Linked DNA regions of Kluyveromyces lactis. The protein of the gene in region 1 purifies or fractionates together with the protein of each later gene. This does not show direct contact. Links are inferred from orthologs where the notes say so. Each region holds a gene or a part of one and is shown in the gene's direction. Other genes may lie near its edges. The genes, in order: UTP20, NOP58, RRP9, KRE33, UTP7, UTP6 and NOC4.

Region 1 (3,979 bases):
ATAGTTTATTCTTATCGTAGTGATGACAAATGCCAGTAAGATGAACATGAATATAACGAATATTACCCACCGTGCCCATTCCCAGTGGGAGGAACACGAGAGACCCCAGCAGTTGTTATCAATATCAGCAGATGTAGTGGTAGCACTTTGAACAGCGCTGACAACACTGGATGGCGTAGATGTAGTTGTGGTTGACATAGCAGGCGAAGTAAGAGCAATATTAGAACCCGGAAAAGATATACTTCCCTTGTTTATTCAATTAGTAAGTTCAGGAGTCCTGCTCTTGGTGTTGGGTTAGCCCTCTTTGTTTTCCGATCCTTTTGATCGAAGGTCTTGTATATCAACAGACAAAAAAGGGGACGAGAAGCGACTTGTAACAAAAAATCCAGTGGGAAATCCTCCTTTCAGCGATAGCTTCGTGTGCAGGTTGGATTTCAAACTCCTATCGACTGCCCTCTGGAGTCCTGCTGGCATATCCTTGTTGCAGCAAGAGTAGCGAGGAAATCTGATCGCGAATCATGACAAATTTCATTTAAAAACGACTATTCCCCATATGCAAATATATATCAGTATATATAATATATCAAGAGACCGATGGAGAGAAATACTGGAAATTTAAGAGAAAGGATATACCTATTTTACCACGAATGTCCAGAAAATGTTGCAGAGCCTCAAATATAACCAAGTTGAGTTCCAAAATCAGCACTACTTCTGCGCTACATAATGTTTACCAATTTTTGTATAATGAGACGATGGAGTTTCTTATTAGTTGAAGTTCTATCATTACCTCGCGATTCTAGGTTGGATACTCTCAACTTATATATTGTAGCGGTTCTACTATTAGTACTCCCACAACTATCGTACCTTCCTGGCCCGTTAAAAACACCTCATAAATGATCAGTGCTGGCGGTCAGTCCTGTGGCCGTAGTCGTCCTCCAGATCGGCCCTGCGTAAAAAGAAACTGGATTTCTTCACGTTCCATTCTAGGTAAAGGGAAAATTTTCAGAATTTGGAAAAGCATGAAAACTCATCTCATCTCATCTCATCGCATAAACAACAAACACAAGAGGGTCTACACACAGTAACTGTCAATCACCAGTCATACAAGACCTGCTTCAGTACATTGATATAACATTGAGGACTAGTCTTGTTCTGTTTCCCATTTTAAAATAATCAACCATGGGTAAGCAAAAGACTACAACGAAATCTACCAAGAGGTATAGATACTCATCTTTCAAGGATAAGATTGATGATTTGAAGATTGAACCTGCTAGAAATTTGGATAGAAGGGTTCATGATGATGTAGAGACCTCCCATTTTCTATCCTCTTTTGAACACTGGAAGGATATCAATTTGAGTGGGAATTTCGGATCCTTTATGGATTCGGTAGAGAAATTGGTTCAAACTTTGCCTCAACTTTTGTACCATGAGGATGAAATCTTTGCGAATTTGGAGCAATATATAGATAAACACGATGAGAGATCTTTACAGCCGTTGTGTGATCTCTTGGCTCAGTTCTGTCATGATTTGGGACCTGATTTCATGAAATTTTATGAAAGGGCGGTTACATGTTTGATTAACTTATTGGAAGCTGCCACTGAATTTGAAAACTCAAACGTGTTCGAATGGGGGTTCAATTGTTTGGCATACATTTTCAAGTATTTGTCACGTAGTTTGACTCAGAATTTGACGCCCACTTTCGACCTCTTATTTCCGTTATTGTCACATAAGAAAGAATACCTCTCCAGATTCTCCGCTGAGGCTCTATCGTTTCTAATAAGGAAATCTCCACAGAAACATTTGGCCACTTTTGTCACATTTTCGTTCCAAAAATTGTGCTTGTTAAAGAATGATAATTTTTATGACGGTTTGCAAACTTTATTTGGTGAATCATTGAAGAGTACTTCCGAGGCATTGCATTCAAGATCAAATATAATATTCCAAACTCTTCTGCAAATCGCATTCGAGAAAAATTCAGACATAGTATGTGTCTCTTTACTTTGTGACATCATTCTAGATATCACTAGACACACTTCTGCGGAGAATATTCAGAGTTTATACGATTTGATCCTTGAATTCTTGGACGAGAATTTGAACGGATCTAGTGCTGCTGTTGGTAAAACGTTGAGAATGTTATCTACGCTATCGTTTGCCGAGAGTGGTAGAAAAGTACCAAGTTGGGAAAAGTTATCTGGTGTTCTACGTAAAGCCACTCAACATGATAGTCTAAATGAATCACATGCAGATCTAGTGTCGTTTACATTTGCCATCGTCTTACGTAATGCTGACGTTAAAACGCTAACTTCTCTGCATAAATACATGTTCGAACTCTACTTGACGAAATTCTCAGCTCATTTCATTGAATTCTTCAAGATTTCTATGGATATCGATAAGGGTAAAGTGCTTTCTTTCAACGGGTTGAAATACTTGCAGAAATACGTTAATAACTGCTGGGCAGATGGTGCTCAGAAGATTGCATTGTTCCTTTTAGAATCGGAATCTTCACAAGATTTGGACTTGGTAAATCATCTCTCTGCACCGGAATTCGCAACCCAGTTGTTGAAGGATATCAGCGATGCTAATGTAAACGATGAACAGGAAATTTTTTCTGTGTATTGGAAACTTATAATATTAAAGACATTGAAACAAGAGGATGAGGAAATCATTATGCATTTGCTAGAGAGGGTTTTCCAAAAGGATGTGTTATCGGATTTTGAAAAGGATTTTGTTGGTTTCCTACTTCAAGCATTAACATTTAAAATCACTTCATCTGAGTCGGTCATGGCTGCAAAATTATTGAATATTCTAGTTCCGAGAATTATAGAGCTACAGAACAGTAGATATTTTATTGAAGGTATTTCACATGTTTTATCATATTTGGAGGACGACACTGATATTTTGAAATCTTTATCAAAGATTTTACCCATATTAACAGATAATCTATTACTTCCGGACAAAACCATCCGTTACGAAACCCTTAAGTTTATAATATCTGTTCTAGAAAAGCAAGGCAACTCAGTTCCCCAATTATTTTATGATCTAAGGATTTTGGAAGAAATCCCTCTGGATCTTCATACAAGCCGTGACATTACTCTCAGAGTAAGGAAACTAGGTGCAGACTTTGCCAAGATGGAAGCTGAGGATTTATTGACTAATGTCTTTTTCAAACATATGTTTGGGCTTCTAACTGTCAGATTCTCTCCAATTTGGGAAGCTATCTATGAAATAATTCCAGAAGTTTACACCAAAAACCAATCCCTTGTGTGGAGTTTGGCTATGCGTTTCCTCACTGTTCTTGATGAAACAAAGGACGTCAAATATTATAGCATTTCCAATAACATTGACCTTCAAGAACCATTCTGGACCGTTAGTATCAATAGAATGAATGACTCCATCCTTGCTTCTGACAAAGTATTTAAAAAATACTCTGCTAGCGATTCAACTATATTGGATGTTTTGGAGGAAAGAAGGAATTCTATGGTATATCCATCATTGATTAGAAGTCAGATATTCAAAGTTTTATTGTCGATTCCTAGTTTGGCAGAGCGTCATTCAAGGGACATAGTTCCTTTTTTATTTAATGAAGAAGAATCTGAAGAAATTTTTATCACAGAAGATCAACCAAGTATGGATGTACTAATTCCAACAGCATCACAATGGACTGAAAGTGATAGAAACCTTTTATTAAAGCTCGTTGGCAAATTCAAAAATATCAAATCCATTTACAAATCAGAGGAAGTGCACGATAGGTTAATGGCACTTTTGAGCAGCAGAACTACAGAAGTTCAAAAATTAGCTTTAGATGCGTTGTTTTGTTACAAGGAATCTCATATAACCAAGTACAGAGAAAACTTGAAGAACTTATTGGATGACACTTTATTTAAAGATGAAATTACCAAGTTTTTAGCAACCGATGACACCAAAACTATCCAAAAGCAAGATGAAGAAGCTGTTATGGGTTATATTGTGAGAATTCTCT
Region 2 (3,418 bases), on another chromosome or scaffold:
AGAAATTCATTTAAAGTCACATGAATGGTTTGGTGATTTCATTACAAAACACGAAATACCACGGAAACTATTCCATTCATCTATTGGTTTTATTACCCTATATCTTTACACTCAAAATGTTGATTACAAGAAAGTGAAATTTCCATTGATAGTAGGATTTACTGTCGTATTTATTTTAGACTTCATTCGTCTACGTTCTCCATTCTTCAATAAAATGTATTGTCGTTGTGTTGGGGCATTGATGAGGAAAAAAGAAATTCATACGTATAATGGAGTCCTATGGTACTTATTGGGCCTGACTTTTGCGTTCTCCTTTTTTAGTAAAGATATCGCGTTAATCTCACTGTTCTTACTAAGTTGGTCAGATACCGCTGCGTCTACTTTCGGTAGAAAGTACGGACACCTTACACCAAAATTGGCCAGAAATAAGTCTTTAGCAGGTTCCATTGCAGCCTTTTCCGTTGGTCTCATAACTTGTTACTCATTTTACGGATTCTTTGTGCCTCATTATAACTGGGTGAACAAACCAGGTGAAATCTCCTGGACCGAAGAGACAAGCAAACTAAACCTACTACAACTTTCGCTATTAGGTGGTTTTGTCGCAGCTTTGAGTGAAGGTATCGACTTGTTTAACTGGGATGATAACTTCACTATTCCAGTTCTATCCGCCATTTTCATGACAGCTGTCATCCGCATTTTCAAGAATTGAGGAGAGCGGTGCGTAGAGGCACCATTTACCATTACCTAGTTTGTATTTTACTTTTCGTGTTCCCTCCTCTTACCTTTACACTGAGCAGGCTTTTATCAAAACCTTCCTCACTGATGATGTACCACTTTCAATGATCGCATATGAAATTCAATCCCTTTGAATATTTGACTATAACCGGAGAACTTAAGATAGACGGGAGGAAATGACAGTTAATGATCACATTTCACACCTACATTTTTTGTATACAAGTCAATTGATTTGGCACATATATTCTACATCTCACCTTATGTATAGACTTGAATAAATTAAAAACTACCAGCAAATATTGTTTAATATACAACGTCTAGTTTGATGCTTTTGTGAACCGTATTGGCCATTGGAATGTGCTTGGTCTCGATATATGAAGAACAAACAGTGCAGTTCTTTATCTGGTCCCTTTATAACACGTGATTTATATATGTGGTGTCCAGATGTGTTTTCTTTTCATTTCTTTTTGAAATTTAACTAACATTGAAAAATTTTCGACAAGCTCATCTCATCAGTATTGAACTACAGAATGGTATTAACGTTTCGATTGAAGAATTAAGCACATCCATCATATCTACGATATCTCAAAGAACCCGTTGAATAATTAGGATCATCTAGCAACATACACATAAAAGACTTTTTAGCGATGGCCTACGTCTTGACAGAAACCTCAGCTGGGTATGCTCTTTTGAAAGCATCTGACAAGAAGATCTATAAGTCCTCTTCTTTGATTCAGGATTTGAACAGCAGTGACAAGGTCTTGAACCAATTCAAGATTGCTGCTTTCTCTAAATTTTCATCAGCTGCAAATGCTTTGGAAGAAGCTAACTCTGTGATTGATGGTAAAGTCTCTTCCCAATTGGAAAAACTGTTGGAAGAATGCAAGACCGACAAAAAGGCCACCTTAGTTGTTTCTGAAACTAAATTGGCAAACGCTATCAACAAGTTGGGTTTGAACTTCAACGTTGTCTCTGATGCCGTCACCTTAGATATTTACCGTGCAGTCAAGGAGTACTTGCCAGAACTTTTGCCAGGTTTGAACGATCAAGATCTTTCCAAGATGTCATTGGGTTTGGCTCACTCCATCGGTCGTCACAAATTGAAGTTCTCTGCTGATAAAGTTGATGTTATGATCATCCAAGCTATTGCTTTGCTAGACGATCTAGATAAAGAATTAAACACTTACGCTATGAGATGTAAGGAATGGTACGGTTGGCATTTCCCAGAATTGGCCAAGATTGTTACTGATTCTGTTGCTTACGCCAGAATAATCTTGACCATGGGTATTAGAGTTAATGCTGCTGAAACTGACATGTCTGAAATTTTGCCTGAAGAAATTGAAGAGAGAGTCAAGACCGCTGCCGAAGTCTCCATGGGTACTGAAATTACCCCAGTTGATTTGATTAATATCAAGTGTTTAGCCGAACAAATTGTTGAATTTGCTGCCTACAGAGAACAACTTTCTAACTATTTGTCTTCAAGAATGAAGGCTATTGCTCCAAATTTGACTCAATTAGTTGGTGAATTGGTTGGTGCTAGATTGATCGCACACTCTGGTTCTTTAATCTCTTTGGCCAAGTCTCCAGCTTCCACCATCCAAATCTTGGGTGCTGAAAAGGCTCTTTTCAGAGCATTGAAAACTAAGCATGACACTCCTAAATATGGTCTATTGTACCACGCTTCCTTGGTTGGCCAAGCATCTGGTAAGAACAAGGGTAAGATTGCCAGAGTTTTGGCTGCTAAGGCTGCCGTTTCTTTGCGTTACGATGCTTTGGCTGAAGATAGAGACGATTCTGGTGACATCGGTTTGGAATCCAGAGCTAAGGTAGAATCAAGATTGTCCCAATTAGAAGGCAGAGACTTGAGAACCACACCAAAGGTCGTCCGTGAGCACAAGAAGACTGAAATCACAGAGGCTAGAGCATACAACGCAGATGCTGACACCGTGTCTTCAGCTGCTGCTCCTGCTGACTCTGATGATGAATCCGAGGACGAGGAAGAAACCAAGGAAGAAAAGAAATCTAAGAAGGATAAGAAGGATAAGAAGAGAAAGAGAGACGATGATGAAGAGTCTAAGGAATCTAAGAAGTCTAAGAAGGAGAAGAAAGACAAGAAGGAAAAGAAGGAAAAGAAGGAAAAGAAAGAAAAAAAGGATAAGAAATCTAAGAAGGAAAAGAAATAGATATAGTATTCACATTAAAACCCCACTCTTTTGCATTAAATCTCTAATAACCTCGTATAAATCTGTTCCATTACATACGAACATACTATGTGTGTACCTCTGTAAATTAGTCTGTATCAAATTCAAACAAAATATAATAATTGAATTATTGTCATACGCTGTACTCTTCTTCTCATTGTCATCGTCAATGGCTTTGATAGTTACATCAAAATATTCACTGATGAAAATGTTGAAATATACAATTCTTAAATTCGGACAAGTTGGCGATGAGATGAGGCAGAAAGAAAGCAACAGGATTTGATAATAAGGATATTCGACCACAATACGAATTCTACGAGGCATACAGTTACTTCAAAGCCATGGGTAAGATTACTTCTATATCTTTGGAAGAAACAAATCGAATTAGGGCAAGTTTAGGTTTGAAGACTATACCTAGGCCCACTGAGACGTCAACAGAATCAAAAGAAGGTGCATCTGATACAAATAGGAAAGTACGAAGA
Region 3 (3,661 bases), on another chromosome or scaffold:
AAGATTCCCTTACTTTCCAAAGAAAGAGTTACTTCAATTGCCTGTACTCCTAAACGTGTAATTGTAGGAACATCTCTCGGATATCTTCGTACTTATAACGATTTTGGGTTACCACTGGCAATAGAAAAAATGTCACCTATTGTTGCTTTGTCTGCTCATGAGTACAAAGTGTTCACCATTCATTACTCACAATATCATGGTATTACTTACTCGATGTTCCAACAACATCCGCAAACTGGCAATAAATACTTCCAAAGAGAATCTCCCTTACCAATAACGTTGCCTCAACAGAATCAGCCGGGAAATGATGATGAAGACATTGAATTTTTAAAATACGATGATATTTTCAATTCATTCAACCCCCTAGGTATCAAATCCTTATTCTTCTCAAGCTTTGGTGATCCGTGTATGTTTGGTCATGATAATGTTTTGTTAATTCTGTCCAAATGGAGAAGTGGTAGTGACGCGAGATGGGTACCCATAGTTGATACCAATTTAGAACTTTGGAAGATGTCAGGGGGTAAGCATCCGAAGAACGTCCACGTTTGGCCATTAGGATTAAACTTCGATACATTTTCGTATTTATTATTGAAGGGGAAGAACGCATGGCCAGATATCCCAATGACCGTTCCTACAGAAATGGAAGTCAGAATCCCAGTTGTATCAAAATCCGAGCTTCAAAAGACACAAGACGATAATCGTAACGACAGCAGCGATGTGGAAGATATTGATAACAGTAATGGTGTCGAAATTCCAATGTACCTAGCAGCAGAAGAGGAATTTCTACGCTCCAAGATACTAAGTGATTTACTAAAAGACACGATGGATAATGAAGGTGAGATATACGGAAATGAAACAGATCTATTACAGCATCTGGTAGCAACACATGATAAGTCCTTACTACGACTTTTAGCTTATGTCTGTTCCGAGCAAGATGTTAACAAGGCCGTTTCAATCGTCAACGAACTGAAGCAAGATAAGGCCCTATCTGCTGCAAGAAAAATTGCAGAAAGAGCTGAACTACTTCCACTAGTAAGAAAAATCAACACGATTATTGAGGCCAAATTTGAGGCCGATTTCAATAATATATGATAATCCCCTGTTCTTCTTATCTGGACTAGAATAAGTATTGTCAGTTTAAATAATAATTGATTTTCCGATCCGTGCATTGACGTTCATTTTCTGCCGTAATGTAAATTAAACTAAGTAATTCTAGCAATACCAATGAAATCAGGCATATAGGTCGTTGAATCGAGTAAAGTCTTCCAAACTATTATTTAATTCTGTTGCAAGTTCATGCATTCTTCAATTTTTGTCACTTTTCAAGTGGTGTCGTTTCTTTTACAAATTGGCGATACTGAAAAAAAAATTGTACATCTGAACCAACATCATTGAAACAGGCGATGAGCTGCAACTAAACCAGACGAGACAGCAACCAGAGGGCCACCAAGTACACCATGGCTAGATCTAGTACAAGCAATGTCTCAAAAAAACGTAATAGGGATTCTGTCGAAGAGGTAGATGAGGAAATCACGGATATTTCTTCTGATGAAGGTGATGTCCAAGATGAATCCAATGATGGCGATGAGGTAGCAGAATACTTGGAATCTGAAGACGAGTTTGAAGGCGAAAACCCTGCTGATAAGAGAAGAAGATTGGCTAAACAATATTTAGAGAATTTAAAGGCTGAAGCTGAAGATATTGGCGATTCTCTGGCGACCGCAAGCACTGAACAGGACCGTCAAACACAATTAGAGGATTACAATAACTTTGATGCTCGTGACTTGGACAGAGATATCATTGCTTCCAGATTGAAACAAGATGTTGCAGAGCAACAAGGGCGTATCTATAGATGGATTTCAAATAAGCTTTTGATAGGTGAATCCAGAACAACGTTTACAAGAGTAGGCGAAAATAATCTAACATGTATTTCGTGTTATCAACCCTCAGTTAACAAGTTTTCTCATAAAGATGTTCAAAATAAGAGCAAGGACAAAATATTTGCTTACACTGTTAGCAAGGACATGCAATTAACAAAATATGATGTTACTGATTTCAAAGCTAGACCAAAAAAAGTGAAATATGTTAAAGGTGGTAGAAAATACATACCGGAAGGTAAATTTGAGTACGAGAATGTGACAGAAGGTCATTACGATGAAATCTTAACGGTGGCAGCTTCTCCTGATGGTAAATACGTAGTTAGTGGTGGTCGTGACCGTAAACTGATAGTATGGAGTACCGAATCTTTAGCCCCTGTGAAAATTATTCCAACCAAAGATCGTAGAGGTGAGGTTTTAGGATTAGCATTCAAGAAGAATTCGGATCAATTATTCGCAGCATGTGCCGATTACAAAATCAGAACGTATGCTATTAACCAGTTTTCTCAACTGGAAATATTATACGGTCATCAGGATTTGGTTATTGATATCTCTGCCCTAAATATGGAGCGTTGTGTGACAGTGGGGTCCAGGGATCGTACCGCTATGTTGTGGAAAATAGCTGACGAATCCAGATTGACATTCAGAGGTGGTGATGATCCTGAAAGACTGAGGAAAAAATGGTTGAAGAACCAACAATTGTCCGCAGAAGGCGGAGAAGATATGCATGAACAGACCCCACCTCACTTTTATGGCGAGGGAAGTATCGATTGTATTAGCATGGTAGATGATTCACATTTCGTTACTGGCTCTGATAACGGAAATATATCATTATGGTCTTTATCCAAAAAGAAACCTCTTTTCACCGTTAGAACTGCTCATGGTGTTGTACCATTAGTTGAGGATAAAAAAATCTCTGGGGAAGTGAGCGATGAATTACGCAATGCACAATTACAAGGTGGATCCATTGCCCAACCATTTTGGATAACATCATTATACGCCGTTCCATATTCTGATATTTTCATTTCAGGATCCTGGAATGGAACCCTGAAGGTATGGAAAATCAATGAGAACTTAAGAGCATTTGAACTATTAGGAGACTTACCTAACTGTAAAGGTGTGGTAACCAAAATTCAAGCCGTAGAATCCGGCAGAACCGGTAGAGAAACCTTCAGAATTCTAGCAAGTGTCAGTAAAGAACATAGATTAGGAAGATGGATTAGCAAGGTACCAGGTGCAAGAAATGGTATCTTTTCTGCTGTGATAGAACAAACCGGATTCTAGTTAATCTTATCAATAGAAAAATCTCCTGTATAGTAAAAAGAAGAATACTTTAATAAAGCCGAAATACATTAGTAATTGTTACAAGGGTATATATTTATATATAGAGAGCTCTAACCGATCAATGATGTAGAGAACTAGGAAAGGATTAATAGAAATCATTGTGACATGATTTTGAGTAGTGTCTTTCATTGTCAGCCATGATAAAATAAGGTGTTAGAGAACGAATTTGAGAACAGATAAGATTTAATTCACATAGCCAGCGACGTAGAGAATTAAATGCGGGAACATCAAAGGAATAGCTCAAAGGATTAAAGGAAAAGATCGGGAAAAGTCAAATGGATTTTTTTATTTTAAGTATTAAGCGTTCCTCATGTTCTTGTAAACAAGCAAGGAACGAAAGAGTAATAAACAACACAAATCGTCTCAAGAGAAAGCAAACAACTCCCAAAGTAAAGGAATCATAGGAAGGCCAAAGCAATACCAGCGGCAGCACCAATCAA
Region 4 (4,053 bases), on another chromosome or scaffold:
ACGCTTGTTTCATGAACTCGATATGATCAGTCCCCGGTGTGTCAAATGAAGTTACCACGGTGAAATAATTTCTTTTATAACCAATCCAATCGTCATCTATGAAATCAAACCCTCGATCAATCCGAGGCTCCAATTTGATTTCTTGAATCTGTCCAAAATCGTTCAATATCTTGTGATTGGGCACCACTGGCGTAAAGCCTGGGCCTATTTTGAACTGCAATGTTGACCTTGGAGCAATACGAACTTTTCTCTTGTCAAAATGACTACTTAATGACCCGTCAGCGTTCCTAAAAGTTTTGATCACGTCCCCGTCAGCATTATCAAGTGTTTCCAAAAATTCGTTCTCATCTATATTGATATTCTCATCGTTCAGATGGTCCAAATCCTCCATCATAGCAAGTTTGATCACATAAAACTATACTCTGTTCCTATTAAAAGAAAATATAGTTAGCTCTCACTCTCCTCCTGGCTATTGCTATGGAATAACCGCCGAGCTTACCTGAATGACCACGAAAAAATAAAACCAAAATAAAACCTAGGAATCGTACGTTCCGTATAAGAGATAACCACAACTGCGCTTGTTCAGGTAAAGAAACAACCTTATAATCGAACCTCGTTCTGATGTCAGTTCTTAACCTCTTATCTTATTCATCGGATCTATTTCATAAGAATATTGCCCTTATTCCTTGTGACACAAAAATACTGGTATTTATATAATGTTAGTTTTTCCCTTTTCGTCAGTCATGAAGAAAACTTTAATTAATACCCATGAAAACTACTACTGAAGTTTAAATATGAATTTAAAATATTAGTCGACATCACATAATGGTGCATTATGCACACGTAGTCATTTCTTGAAATTAGCCGCCGAAATTACACTGCGCATGAAATTCATGCGGGTAACAGTATATTTTCATCAAATAATTCCGGGTAAGTAGTATCTTTTCTTTTCTCTGCCTAATTTTTTTTTTTTTTTTTCATTGTCTTTTTACTATTTCATCGTATTAGGTAGGAATTTTATTTCGAGATGAGATGAGATCAAATGAGATGAGGTGGTTTGCTGAGAAGCTATCTGAGTATTACGAGACGTTTATTTCTCCCCAAAATACCTGATTACTGTACTTCGTTACTACAAAAAAAATCATTAAAAACACTAACTCTTCCCAACGGTCGAACTTCCAGCGAAACGTAACTGTCATTGTTTGTTGTTAAAGAGTGTGTTCTTAAAACTTTAAACCAGAAGTTAGATTACGATGGGTAAAAAAGCTATTGATTCTCGTATCCCAGCTCTCATCAGAAATGGTGTTCAAACAAATCAGAGATCATTTTTCGTTATCGTTGGTGACAATGCTCGTAACCAGCTACCGAACTTGCACTATTTAATGATGAGTGCTGACCTCAAAATGAATAAATCCGTGTTATGGACGTATAAGAAGAAACTCTTGGGTTTCACTTCACACAGGAAGAAGAGAGAAGCAAAGATTAAGAAAGAGATCAAGAGAGGTACCAGAGAGATAAATGAACAAGATCCTTTTGAAACTTTCATCTCTAACCAAAACATTCGATACTGTTATTATAAGGAAACTGAAAAAATTTTGGGTAACACTTATGGTATGTGTATCCTACAAGATTTTGAAGCTTTGACTCCAAATTTGCTAGCAAGAACCATCGAAACCGTTGAAGGTGGTGGTATCATTGTTATCATGTTAAAGTCCATTTCCTCTCTAAAACAGTTATACACTATGACTATGGATATCCACTCTCGTTATAGAACGGAAGCTCATGACGATGTCGTGGCAAGATTCAACGAAAGATTTATCTTGTCCTTGGGTTCGAATGAAAACTGTTTGGTAGTAGATAGTGAGTTAAACGTTTTACCTATATCTGGAGGAAAAAACGTAAAACCACTTCCACCAAAGGATGATGAAGAAATTTCACCAAAAAATCAAGAACTAAAAGAATTGAAAGTGTCTTTAGAAGATGTTCAGCCTGCGGGATCATTAGTTGCTCTTTCAAAAACGGTTAATCAAGCTCATGCAATCTTGACCTTCATTGATGCCATTTCAGAGAAAACTTTAAATTCAACTGTAGCATTGACGGCAGGTAGAGGTAGAGGTAAATCAGCTGCTCTAGGTATTTCTATTGCTGCTGCTGTATCCCATGGTTACTCCAATATCTTTGTAACATCTCCTTCCCCTGAGAATTTGAAGACTTTATTTGAGTTTATTTTCAAAGGATTTGACGCTCTAGGCTATCAGGAGCACATTGATTATGATATCATTCAGTCCACCAATCCAAGCTTCAACAAAGCCATAGTCAGAGTAGACATCAAGAGAGAACATAGACAGACCATTCAATATATTATTCCAAATGATTCTCATGTGTTGGGACAGGCAGAACTTGTTGTCATTGATGAAGCTGCCGCAATTCCACTACCACTTGTAAAGAAGCTTTTGGGTCCGTACTTAGTGTTTATGGCATCCACTATTAACGGTTATGAAGGTACCGGTAGATCTTTGTCTTTGAAATTGATTCAACAGCTAAGAACTCAATCCAACGGTACTGGCCGTGAAGATTCCGAAACAGCACTTGTTTCCAGAGATTCAAAGAAACAAGAAGTTCAAACAAGTGGCCGTTCTTTGAGAGAAGTTGTCTTAGATGAACCTATCAGATACGCTCCTGGTGACCCAGTTGAAAAATGGTTGAATAAATTACTTTGTTTGGACGTTCAACTAATCAAAAATCCAAGATTTGCTGCTAGAGGCACACCTCATCCATCTCAATGTAATTTATTCATCGTCAATAGAGATACTCTATTTTCTTATCATCCTGTTTCTGAAAATTTTCTGGAGAAGATGATGGCTCTTTATGTCGCATCGCATTACAAGAATTCTCCTAACGACTTGCAATTAATGAGTGATGCACCTGCTCATCAACTATTCGTTTTATTGCCTCCCATCGATCCAAAAGATGGCGGCAGAATACCTGATCCCTTAGTGGTCATCCAGGTCGCATTGGAAGGTGAGATCTCGAAGGATTCTGTCAGAAATTCTTTGGCAAGAGGTCAAAGAGCTGGTGGTGACTTAATTCCATGGCTAATCTCACAGCAATTTCAAGATGAAGAATTTGCCGGTTTGAGTGGTGCCCGTGTTGTTAGGATTGCAACCAATCCGGAATACGCCTCTATGGGTTATGGGTCTAGGGCTCTGGAGTTATTGAAAGATCATTTCGAAGGTAAATTCACCGATTTGAATGAAGATACGGTACAAAAGGACTACACAATCAAGAGAGTCGATGACAGGGATTTGAAGAAAGCAGACCTCTTGAAAGATGAAATCAAATTAAGGGATGCAAAGACGTTGCCACCATTGCTTCTGAAACTCTCAGAACAAACCCCTCACTTTTTGCATTACTTAGGTGTTTCATATGGTTTAACAAAATCTTTACATAAGTTCTGGAAAAACAACGGATTTGTCCCAGTTTACTTACGTCAAACAGCGAATGATTTGACTGGTGAACATACATGTGTTATGGTTAAAGTTCTTGAAGGTCGTGAATCAAAATGGCTGGCAGAATTTGCCAAAGATTTCCATAAAAGATTCTTGTCTTTATTATCGTTCGACTTTAAGAAATTCACTGCCATCGAAGCGTTAAATGTCATTGAATCTGCTAAGAAGGGTGAAACACTAGACCAAGACTCGGAGGGCAGATCGTTCCAGAATAAGGTTTTAACAAGGGACCAATTGGATTCCATCTTTTCTCCATTCGATCTAAAGAGGTTAGAAAGCTATGCTAACAACTTACTGGATTATCATGTCATTGTTGATCTTCTACCAATGATGGCATTGCTATACTTTAGTGGAAAGCTGGGTGACGGTGTATCATTATCAAGCGTACAATCGTGTATACTACTTGCAATTGGTTTGCAACACAAGGGCATTGATGACATAACGAAAGAGTTGAACTTACCATCCAATCAAACTATTGCCATGTTCTCCAAGATTATCAGGAAATTCACCAATTTCTTCAGGGAAGTTTTAAGCGAGTCTATTG
Region 5 (3,568 bases), on another chromosome or scaffold:
ATTGACCCCCAACAATTTGTCTTTGTATAAGGACAAGTTTTCAACGGAATTGTCCTTAAACATGTAACTGTTGATGAAACTGGTAATACGGGATTGTAATGTGTTGACAACGGTGTCATGGCCGGATGAATTGAAACCGTATCTGTTGATAACAGCATCATCCAAAGGTAATCTAAAGAATCTAGGTCTTGGGTTTCCTGGTTGTGGTAATGGAGTCACAGAACCAATCTCTATATAACCGAATCCTCCGGAAAGTATACCGTCGATGGCATCACCATTTTTATCCAAACCGGCAGCACAACCAATTGGATTGGTCAATTTCTTACCAAAAATGTTCACATTCAATACCTTATCATCGTTATCGAACCATAATCTTGGAGCCAACCCATTCTTCAAGAACCAGATACCTAATTTATGCCCATCTTCAGCATCTGGCGTTACAAGTCTCAACATCGGGCACAAGACGTACTCATGGAAAGCAGACCTCGAATTGGAGAAATAGAATCCCGCAAATGAACCAATGGCTATCCCAACAGTGTACTTCAAAAGCTTAGGGCCAGAAATGCCTGCTTTCAATGGGACCATGCCATTCTTGACAAAGAACTGCGATTGATTTAGCGTAAAAAGTTTCTTGCTCAAAATACGTGGGAACCCACTATTCATAGTTGATAAAAGCAAAATACGCGGTATTCGGAGTGACCTCTACTTGCCTATTCCAATCTTGTATAACAAGAGAAAAGAACAACGATACACGATCTAGCTCTCTATTCATTGCGGGAGGACCAAAACATTAGTTCAAGTTCTTCATTTTCATTTCATTTTTCAGTTAAGACTCGACGGAGTGTTTTCCGGAAACACATCTGTGAGGAACAAAAGTATGTGACTAGCAGATGCCTGGTGCAATTAGCTCAGAGGTCACCATTGCATATTAATTTGTACTTTGATTTAATTTCTTTTAGATACCTATCATATGTCTAGATGCATAGAAGGTAGTATACTACTTTACACCGGTACTACAGGATGCAGATCAAGTGAAAAATACTCAGGGAACTACTCTTAACTACTCTTTCAAGAAGAAATGATTGCTATTTTGGTTAGAAATCGTTTGGACTCATTGGGTTTGGTATTTATAACTGAATTTCCCCACGTTTTGGGCATGTACTATGCGCCGATTGATCTATTTATCAGTCATATACAATTCTTACTTGGTAATGTCTATCATTCTTCAGCTCAACTTAAGGATTTTTTCTTTTTTTCTCGAGTATCCAATATCGAAAATTTTAAGAAACGATGAGATGAGATGAGCTTCACAATATAAGGTTCTGCAAGTTTACTGCTACATCTTCTGATATCAGGTATCACTTCACGAGAAGCCGAATCAATATTCAATAATGGTTGCTAAGAAAGGTAGTAAGTCACAGTATAGTGACCTACAACGGAGAGACAATCAGGACAAATTTGAGAGATCGAATAACGATGATGATGCCAACGGGTCTCACAAGATGCAGAAGAAAACCAAGGATAAGAAGTTAAAGGCAGGATTGAAGCGTATTGATCAGAAGTATAAGGAAGCGGTACTCTCTACTGCTGCTACAGAATATCTTTTACCCGAAGAGCATGGTTATTTAGAAGCAGAAGATGAGATGGAAAAGACGTTCAAGTTCACACAGGCTGAAATCAAACACCATGTTGACGCCTCCATGGCCAATAAGGCATTGGACTTGAAATTAAACGATTTTGGTCCGTACCGTGTAAATTATTCCAGAAATGGTACGCATATGCTTATTGCAGGTCGGAAGGGCCATGTAGCATCTCTTGATTGGAGGAAAGGTGAACTTCGTGGTGAGCTAAATCTCGGGGAGACAGTGCAAGCAGCAACATATTTGCAAAATGAACAGTTCTTTGCAGTAGCACAAAAAAAATACACGTTCATTTACGATCATGAAGGTGTAGAGCTGCATCGTTTAAAGCAGCACATAGAGGTCAAACATTTAGAATATTTACCATATCATTATCTCTTGGCAACAGCAGGACAAACAGGTTTTTTGAAATATCAAGATGTTTCGACAGGTCAACTAGTATCAGAGATCAGAACTAAACTAGGTCCTACTACAGCGATGGCTCAGAACCCTTGGAATGCAGTAATGCATTTGGGACATAGCAACGGCACAGTCACTCTATGGTCACCATCAATGCCATCACCACTGGTAAGACTATTATCATCTAGAGGATCAATAACAGGAATTGCTGTAGATAGACAAGGTTATTATATGGCCACCACTGGTTCCGATAAATCTTTAAAGATTTGGGATATCAGAAACTTTAAAGAAGTACATAGTATTGAGAACATGCCTACGCCCGGTACTAACGTTGCAATTTCAGATACAGGTCTACTTGCAGTATCAAGAGGGCCTCATGTAACAATTTGGAAAGATACGTTGAAAAGTGGGAAAGCTGCTAGACCGTATTTCACCTCTAGCGGTTACAAAGATAGAAATACTCCGTATATGTCTCATTTATTCGCTGGAAATAAAATAGAGAACTTCCAGTTTGCGCCATTCGAAGATTTGCTAGGTGTTGGACATCAAAAGGGTATAACCAATTTGATTATTCCAGGCGCAGGGGAAGCCAACTACGACGCACTAGAGGCCAACCCATACGAAACAAGCAAACAGAGACAGGAACAAGAAGTGAGATCATTATTGAATAAGTTACCTGCTGATTCTATAACATTAAATCCAAACACAATAGGTACAGTAGATTCTCGTGCTTCTCAAGTCAGATTAAATGCAAAGGATCTTGCAATTATCTCGAATGCAGAGCAAGAAAAATCCAAACTAAACAAAGACATTCCTGATGCCAGACCTGATGTTAAAGGTAAGAACTCCGGATTACGTGCGTTCCTACGAAAGAAAACTCGTAATGTTGTGGATGAAAGGAAGTTAAGGGTACAAAGACAACTAGAGAAGGAAAAGTCTAGCCGCCAAAGAAAAGAAAAAATTAAGAAGGGTGAACTTGCTGATGATCACAAAGACCTTGTTGATGAAGCCTTATCAAGATTTTCTTGAATCATCAAGTAGTTATCAATATGTATACTTACATGAACACTTATATAATCTGTTATTATAGCCGGCTTAGTATCGACTGTTGCAAAAACATGTTTGAATTATTTGCATATAGATACGACTTAGTTTGAGGTGATTATTTACTGTACATTATGAAGGATGACCGCTATTGCTAGGACCTAATTTCTCGATTAAAATTCAAGAGAATCCTCGACTTTAAATGAAGATGGTAATGGGGCATATATATCTTTTGTTTGTCTTACGGTCTTGATTAATTCTAGTGGTTCTTCAGGTGTCTTATCCTCAACGATAATGACACCTGAGTTTCCTCTGAATTTGCGAACAGGTACAAAACGGCTATCTTTCGCAAAAGATATGAATTTGAGTTGCTGCGGAAGCACACGGGTGAGGTTTTCAACATCATAGCTCGTTGTCGTGTATTTGATCTTAGCTTCTTCAGTATTCTTGGCCTCTTCCTTCTTTTTTTCCTCCAGTTCCACCTC
Region 6 (3,113 bases), on another chromosome or scaffold:
CCTGGCTTGTTTCGGAGATTCCGTCACCACTTCCGATGACGAAGACGTTACCGTTTCTGTATTGATGACTTAGTGCGTTATTGAATGCTAAAGAGTACACTTTCTTTGGGAGCGCTGTGGTATAATCATTTGGTGCAGTTCTTGCTAGAGCTCTACCACCGTTATGCCTTATTGGTGAATTAGCGTCACCAGCTCTGGCCATACCAGATCCCTTTTGTGGTAAAATCTTTCTTCTCGAATAACCAACATCACTTCTGCCTGGGGGGTTAGAAGACCCAACACGTTTACTGTCATTTTCGTAAACAACAGCACGCCATAGTAAGTCTCTTCTCAATGGAGCATCAAATACTGAGGTTGGCACTGGTGCAAATGTCAATGGTTCTAATGATGGGAATGAACGAACCGTTGCTAAGGTATATTTTGGCGGTAGACTAGCATTAGGAAGGGGTTTGTTGGAAACGTAACGGACCTGTAGAGAATAGGGAAAAGAGTAACAAAAAATTACGAGCAATAGTTAGTAAATCGATCTTCTAAAAGTAGGTGATATAACTGCTTAATGCGGAAGGATATCATCATGCAGTTTGAGGAAAGCCCGCGCTTTACCATTGCAACAGTGATGAAAATGGGTTTGACATACGTTTTTGCACAAATTCAAACCTTGTCTCTTGGAAAACATGGCTGATTCTGATACACTGACTTAATGTCTCGATACAAAGGGGATCAATTGGACACTCCTATGTCTGATCACCGCAAACAAATCAATCATCTTTAGTATTCAACCTATTTCATATTCAGATTTTTGATTATCGAAAATTTGTCTACCATGTAAAATATCCGGGTAATGTTAAATTGCCCGAATTAACGATCAACAAAACTGTCATCTTGTATGAAAGCATACAACGACATTAAGGGTCGCAGTTTATGGTAGTCCCGAATGTCATATGTAAGCGGATTCAATTTGCAGTAAAAAAAAATCCGATTTACGCTAGCAGAACAACAATTGTACTTGTCCTTTTGTTATTCATCGATGGTTATTTAAATGGAGGACTTTATTCTGACTGATTATATGAAAAAGAAATCAATATAACCAAAAAAATTCAAAAGCTTCAAGGCTCATCTCATCTCATCTCAGTATTATTTAGCATGAACAAAGCCAGTAGTCGTTTCCTTTGTCAGTAAGCGAGCGATACGAGTCTCCGTGATTACACTTTAATCAATACTTAACATAAAACTACCCAGAGTAAGGCGATGTCATCCAGAACAAGATATTACTTGGAACAATGTATTCCAGAAGTTGATGACTTAGTGCAGAAGAAGTTATTCACTAAGAATGAAGTAAACAAAATTATGAAGAAAAGGACTGATTTTGAACACAGATTGAGTTCGAGAGGTTCAAGTATAAGTGATTACATCAGATATATTGAATACGAGAAGAATGTCGATGCATTAAGAATGAAACGTGTTAAACGTATCTTGCAATCGAACAAATCAAATAGTATTTCGGATTTTACCATACAGCAGAGGATTCTCTATATTTTCCAAAGAGGCTGCAATAAGTTCCCAAAAAAATTGAAATTTTGGTCTTTATATTTGAATCATTTAAAATCAAAGGGTACAAATGCCTCTTATAAAAAGATTCAAAACGTCTACAATCAATTGCTCAAATTACATCCAACAAACGTTGACGTTTGGATATCATGTGCTAAATATGAATACGAATTGCACGCAAACTTCAAGAGCTGTAGAAATGTTTTTCAAACTGGTCTTAGATTTAATCCAGATGCTTCTAAACTCTGGTACGAGTACGTTAAATTCGAACTGAATTTCGTGACAAAATTGTTAAATAGAAGAAAAGTGATGAATTTAATCAACGAAAGGGAACAAGAGCTAGATATGCTACAACAGCAAGAGGAAGGAAGAAACTCCAGTAATGTAACAGGTCTGGAAGAAACTGCAGATGACGAAGCATACTTTGACAAAGACGGAATTCAACTTCCAAGTACTGGTGACAAGATGAAAGATAAACTAAACGAGTTACCAGAAGCCGATATGAATATGCTTGGATCAGAAGAAACTAATCCAGCACTACGTGGTGATGTCGCATTGGTTATATTCGATATCGCAATGAAGAATCTGGGCACATCTTTTGTCAAGAAACATCAAGGATACTACGCCGTTACCAATTCGCAAGTCGATGAAGAGCTCAGCAGAAACGTTATGTCCTACCTGTTTGATAGATGCCTCGAGTATATCAACTTATTTTCGGAATTTCAAGATTTAAAAAGAGAATATCTGATAAATCACGTATTGCAATGGCTAAAGGACGAACATTATAATATTTCCCTTGAGAAAAGTATGCCAGAAAAATATGTGGAATTATTATTGCATGATGTTACATTAAATATCAAATTCATGCCTGCCGGCGAATTAAACATCGACAGTCTCCAATTGTCCTTCAAAAAGTATTCTGCATACATCAGCAAATTAGATGAGACGAATGCCAAACAACTTACTACATTATATTCTGGTTATTTGACCCAACATCTATTATCCAATATGGATAAATCTGATTCGAAGTATGCTATTTTGAATGCTATTATCAAGAAACTGTAATGAGACACTGTATACACATTTTTATGTACATATTTGACATTAAGTAGTAAGGTAAGCAGTGGAGCCAATATTTCCACAGTTTTATAACTCTAATTAAACCCAATTCTGAGAAACGAAGAAATCATAGATTCTGTTGGCCTTCGTTGCCTCGATATTCAATAAATCACGACACTGTTTCTTCGAGAGTTGACCTGCAGTCCGTATTAATTCTCTGAATAGTACCTCTTTGATGGCAATGTAAGGCTTTGGCAAAATTTTCAACGTTATGCATAACTGCTGTTCCTCAGCTGATAATAATTGGAAATCTGCCCCATGCTGAATGTCACTGATAGTCATTAGTTTCTTACGTCCACTTCCTTCGTTATAATTTTGAGCATAATCAGCTTGCGATCTATGGGCCGAAGTAGCTCTATAACGGGCAGTGTTACTAGATGAAGAAGAAGAGTACACTTGACTTCCAAATCTTTCCAATGTCATAATTCTTGCTTGTTTATCACGTT
Region 7 (3,212 bases), on another chromosome or scaffold:
TGAGCATCAATTCTTTATACTTTTTCCAAAATTTTTCACCAGAGCTTGAATCGCCGTATTCTTTTTTCTTTCGAGATATTGAAAATGACTCAGTATCAATTGCATATCAAAAGAATATGACAAAGCAGCAGAGAAACGAAAAGTAACGAAGTGAAAATGAAAATTGGTGCCAGATTCTAACTCTGATTCATAGTTGATTCATTTGTTCCCGCTCCGACTTGTCATATTCACGATACCATCGTATCACGGCATTTTTTTCTATCTAATATTTACGTTTACGTTTACAGTTAGTTTAGTTTTTGAAATGAATCGCACAAGGCGATTCATATTAGCAAGAAGCAAGACTCAAACACACAAACTCACATCAAGTCTATACATGGGATGACCTTCCCAAAAAGAATCAGAATTTTATAAAAAGTGTCCCAAATCATTCAAAGAATGTAACAAGATTATAAGGCTTGCGAGGGCACCACATTCTCCATTAAAACCATGAACAGAAAATAATTCCCATCCACGAAAGAATTGTAAGAATTAAAAAAGCGCAAATAGTATCATCGTCTTCTTTTAAAACTTGGAAGGTCATGTGGATTTAAGCCCAAAAAGAGTAATACAAGTAAAGCCTATCAAAGTTACATCTCTTCTACATCACCAATTGTGTCTTGTAATTTCTTGGTTCATAAATCTTTCTCTTATATATGATGAAATTCGGGCTAGATCATTTTATACTAATCGTTGAAATTTGTATGCTGTTAGGGCTCATAGGCTGCCGTGAACTGGAGGATACGCACCCCCTGAAGGAACGAGCATCAGTGTGCGTATTCAAGGTGATGCAGGCAAGACTTGACTGACAACAGAATGGTTTACCACTCTAAATTATATATTTAATGTCGCCATTGATAGCTAGTTTATTAGGAAATGCGATCACGTGATAAGAATAATTTCTTTTCAATTGTCTTCTACATTGCAAGAATCTCTGAAAAATTTGGAATCAAGAGATGAGATGAGATGAGATGAGATGAGATGAAGTCGAATAGGAAACGTTAAGGTAGGATATTCTCACCGTTATAATCTGTTTGATTACTCGCAATAAATAATTGGAATTCACATATAAAAGTTTCCCAAGGATTCAGACAGCGATTAACCAAGATGCTCTCGAAGGAAGAGATTAAGCAAGTTTGGAAGTCTATTAGCACCGGCAATGATAGAAAACATTACAACTCGTTGGTGAACCTAATCCATGGGTACAATGAACTTCTAAAGGAAAACGAATTGTTGCACAATTTGGAAGATGATTACCGTTATATGACCATTGCTTTGAGTCAGATTTTCATCAAACTTTTTGAGCGTGGTCAATTGATGCCTCATCTTGCATCCAATGCCAATGAAAAGAAATTCTTTGAATGGTGTAAGAAACTATATTTAAATTATAAGGTTAAGTTATTGGCTATCATTACATCTTTGCATGAAGTTAACTCGTTGAGTTTAGATTGTTTGGACTCATATATGAAAATGCTTCACCATGAATCGATATATTGGGCTTCGAAACCAAATAGTCCTTTCTTTCCAAATAAGACTTTAAGATCGTTACTAGTGGCTCTTTTCCATTGTAACTTTGAAGGTGATATCGGTTTCAAAGATGGTCAGAGCGAGAATCCCGTGTTTAATCTATTTGTGGAAGCCTATTATAAGAAGAATTTCGATATTCAATTCTACACACAATCAGAACTGATATCGTTGTTACCAGAACTTGATGGCCAAACATCTGACGAAATTTTGATGTCTAAATGGTTGGCTTTATGCAACAACGATGTTCAGGGATCACCAGACTTGGAAATATTCGTATCTGTGCCCCCACAAGCCATCGAGAATGATGCTAAGTTTAAATCCAACCTCGAAACAAATTGGTTGCACTGTCTAAATTTAGCCAACTTATCCAGTAGCCAATATAAAACTGTGCTTTTAGTGCTACACAAGAGAATTATAGTATGGTTCCATCAACCAACAAAGCTTATGGATTTCCTTACCGACTCTTACAACCAAGGTGGTATCGTTTCAATCCTTTCATTAAATGGTTTGTTTGAACTTATGAAAAAATACAACCTAGAATATCCAAATTTCTACTCAAAACTATATCAGCTTCTAACTCCAGAAGTAATGCACGTTAAGTACAGATCAAGATTTTTCAGATTAGTGGACACCTTTCTATCTTCTACACATTTATCCGCACAACTGGTAGCGTCATTCATCAAACGTTTGGCACGTTTATCCGTATCGGCACCACCAGGTGCTATTGTTTCTATAATACCATTCGTGTACAATCTAATCAGAAAGCATCCTACATGTATGATTCTATTACACGATCCAGAATACATCGACTGCGATTCAAAGAAAAGGCAAGAATATCTAGATCCATTCAACAATGAAGAAACCAATCCAGAACTTACAAATGCTCTTTCCTCCTCAGTATGGGAGCTAGAAACGCTAATGAATCACTACCATCCAAACGTAGCCACTTTAGCGAAGATTTTCCAACAACCTTTCCAAAAGTTAAGCTACAACATCGAAGATTTCTTAGATTGGTCTTACGATTCACTTTTGCAAGCAGAAACCAATAGAAAGCTGAAGATCCAACCTGCTCTTGAATTCGAAAGGTTTGAAACAATTTTCGAATCAGGTTCTGATTCAGCATTCCTACCCTTCATAAAATGGTAAATACATAATTTCAAGTAGAAAACTTAAGTAGTTCAATTCCAAATTGAGTACTTTCTTTCACTTTCGCAAATCTCTTCACATTACATCTCATCACATCGCCGTAATATTGAAACATCGAGATGAAAAAAATCAACAAGTCAACATCAAGAAGAGAAAGACTCACATCAGAAAAAACTTTAAAATGGGCTCCGTTTATCGGTCTTGAGGACTTAAAGGCACATACCATACCAGTTGGCTGCTTTTTTACCACTACTATTGAATAAATGACTGAGGAAGTGAAAGCCTGTAATCCAGAGAAAGCCTTAGAGCTGAAGAATGAAGGTAACAAGTTCGTGAAGGAGAAACTGTACGCAAAGGCAGCTGAGTATTATACAAAAGCCATCGAGCATGATCCCGAGAATACGATCCTATATTCAAACCGTGCGTTCACCAACCTAAAGTTGGATAACTTCCAAAGTTCTTTAGACGATGCTAAACGTGCAATTGAATTGGATAATAAC

Evidence for each region.
Region 2: the proteins of UTP20 (region 1) and NOP58 purify together in Saccharomyces cerevisiae (affinity purification with mass spectrometry; 4 studies listed by BioGRID). This does not show direct contact. The link is inferred for Kluyveromyces lactis from reciprocal best matches to the Saccharomyces cerevisiae genes UTP20 and NOP58.
Region 3: the proteins of UTP20 (region 1) and RRP9 purify together in Saccharomyces cerevisiae (affinity purification with mass spectrometry; 5 studies listed by BioGRID). This does not show direct contact. The link is inferred for Kluyveromyces lactis from reciprocal best matches to the Saccharomyces cerevisiae genes UTP20 and RRP9.
Region 4: the proteins of UTP20 (region 1) and KRE33 purify together in Saccharomyces cerevisiae (affinity purification with mass spectrometry; 3 studies listed by BioGRID). This does not show direct contact. The link is inferred for Kluyveromyces lactis from reciprocal best matches to the Saccharomyces cerevisiae genes UTP20 and KRE33.
Region 5: the proteins of UTP20 (region 1) and UTP7 purify together in Saccharomyces cerevisiae (affinity purification with mass spectrometry; 4 studies listed by BioGRID). This does not show direct contact. The link is inferred for Kluyveromyces lactis from reciprocal best matches to the Saccharomyces cerevisiae genes UTP20 and UTP7.
Region 6: the proteins of UTP20 (region 1) and UTP6 purify together in Saccharomyces cerevisiae (affinity purification with mass spectrometry; 3 studies listed by BioGRID). This does not show direct contact. The link is inferred for Kluyveromyces lactis from reciprocal best matches to the Saccharomyces cerevisiae genes UTP20 and UTP6.
Region 7: the proteins of UTP20 (region 1) and NOC4 purify together in Saccharomyces cerevisiae (affinity purification with mass spectrometry; 8 studies listed by BioGRID, with this or other methods). This does not show direct contact. The link is inferred for Kluyveromyces lactis from reciprocal best matches to the Saccharomyces cerevisiae genes UTP20 and NOC4.

The regions. Positions count from the first base shown.
Region 1 is NC_006041.1:1,547,840-1,551,818, reverse strand, and holds the start of UTP20 (Utp20p), read left to right. Parts: upstream 1-1,179; coding exon 1,180-3,979. Other genes in the region: KLLA0_E17447g (resistance to Congo red protein), read right to left, coding at 1-198. UniProt on the Saccharomyces cerevisiae protein: Involved in nucleolar processing of pre-18S ribosomal RNA and ribosome assembly.
Region 2 is NC_006042.1:801,123-804,540, reverse strand, and holds NOP58 (RNA-processing protein NOP58), read left to right. Parts: upstream 1-1,382; coding exon 1,383-2,918; downstream 2,919-3,418. Other genes in the region: DGK1 (diacylglycerol kinase), read left to right, coding at 1-709; U4/U6-U5 snRNP complex subunit SNU66, read left to right, coding at 3,278-3,418. UniProt on the Saccharomyces cerevisiae protein: Required for pre-18S rRNA processing. May bind microtubules.
Region 3 is NC_006038.1:970,261-973,921, reverse strand, and holds RRP9 (ribosomal RNA-processing protein RRP9), read left to right. Parts: upstream 1-1,457; coding exon 1,458-3,161; downstream 3,162-3,661. Other genes in the region: chromatin-binding protein CTF4, read left to right, coding at 1-1,092; KLLA0_B11055g (uncharacterized protein), read right to left, coding at 3,620-3,661. UniProt on the Saccharomyces cerevisiae protein: Involved in nucleolar processing of pre-18S ribosomal RNA. Required for efficient pre-rRNA cleavage at sites A0, A1 and A2, and biosynthesis of 18S rRNA.
Region 4 is NC_006042.1:2,272,077-2,276,129, reverse strand, and holds the start of KRE33 (ribosome biosynthesis protein KRE33), read left to right. Parts: upstream 1-1,253; coding exon 1,254-4,053. Other genes in the region: transcription factor NDT80, read right to left, coding at 1-394. UniProt on the Saccharomyces cerevisiae protein: RNA cytidine acetyltransferase with specificity toward both 18S rRNA and tRNAs. Catalyzes the formation of N(4)-acetylcytidine (ac4C) at positions 1280 and 1773 in 18S rRNA.
Region 5 is NC_006039.1:804,121-807,688, forward strand, and holds UTP7 (Utp7p), read left to right. Parts: upstream 1-1,391; coding exon 1,392-3,068; downstream 3,069-3,568. Other genes in the region: KLLA0_C09240g (dihydroorotate dehydrogenase 2), read right to left, coding at 1-663; proteasome regulatory particle base subunit RPN2, read right to left, coding at 3,257-3,568. UniProt on the Saccharomyces cerevisiae protein: Involved in nucleolar processing of pre-18S ribosomal RNA.
Region 6 is NC_006038.1:119,427-122,539, reverse strand, and holds UTP6 (snoRNA-binding rRNA-processing protein UTP6), read left to right. Parts: upstream 1-1,248; coding exon 1,249-2,613; downstream 2,614-3,113. Other genes in the region: YML6 (mitochondrial 54S ribosomal protein uL4m), read right to left, coding at 1-469, 638-676; chromatin-binding transcription regulator ADA2, read right to left, coding at 2,707-3,113.
Region 7 is NC_006038.1:952,973-956,184, forward strand, and holds NOC4 (ribosome biosynthesis protein NOC4), read left to right. Parts: upstream 1-1,146; coding exon 1,147-2,712; downstream 2,713-3,212. Other genes in the region: PPT1 (protein serine/threonine phosphatase), read left to right, coding at 2,976-3,212. UniProt on the Saccharomyces cerevisiae protein: Involved in nucleolar processing of pre-18S ribosomal RNA and ribosome assembly. Has a role in the nuclear export of 40S pre-ribosomal subunit to the cytoplasm.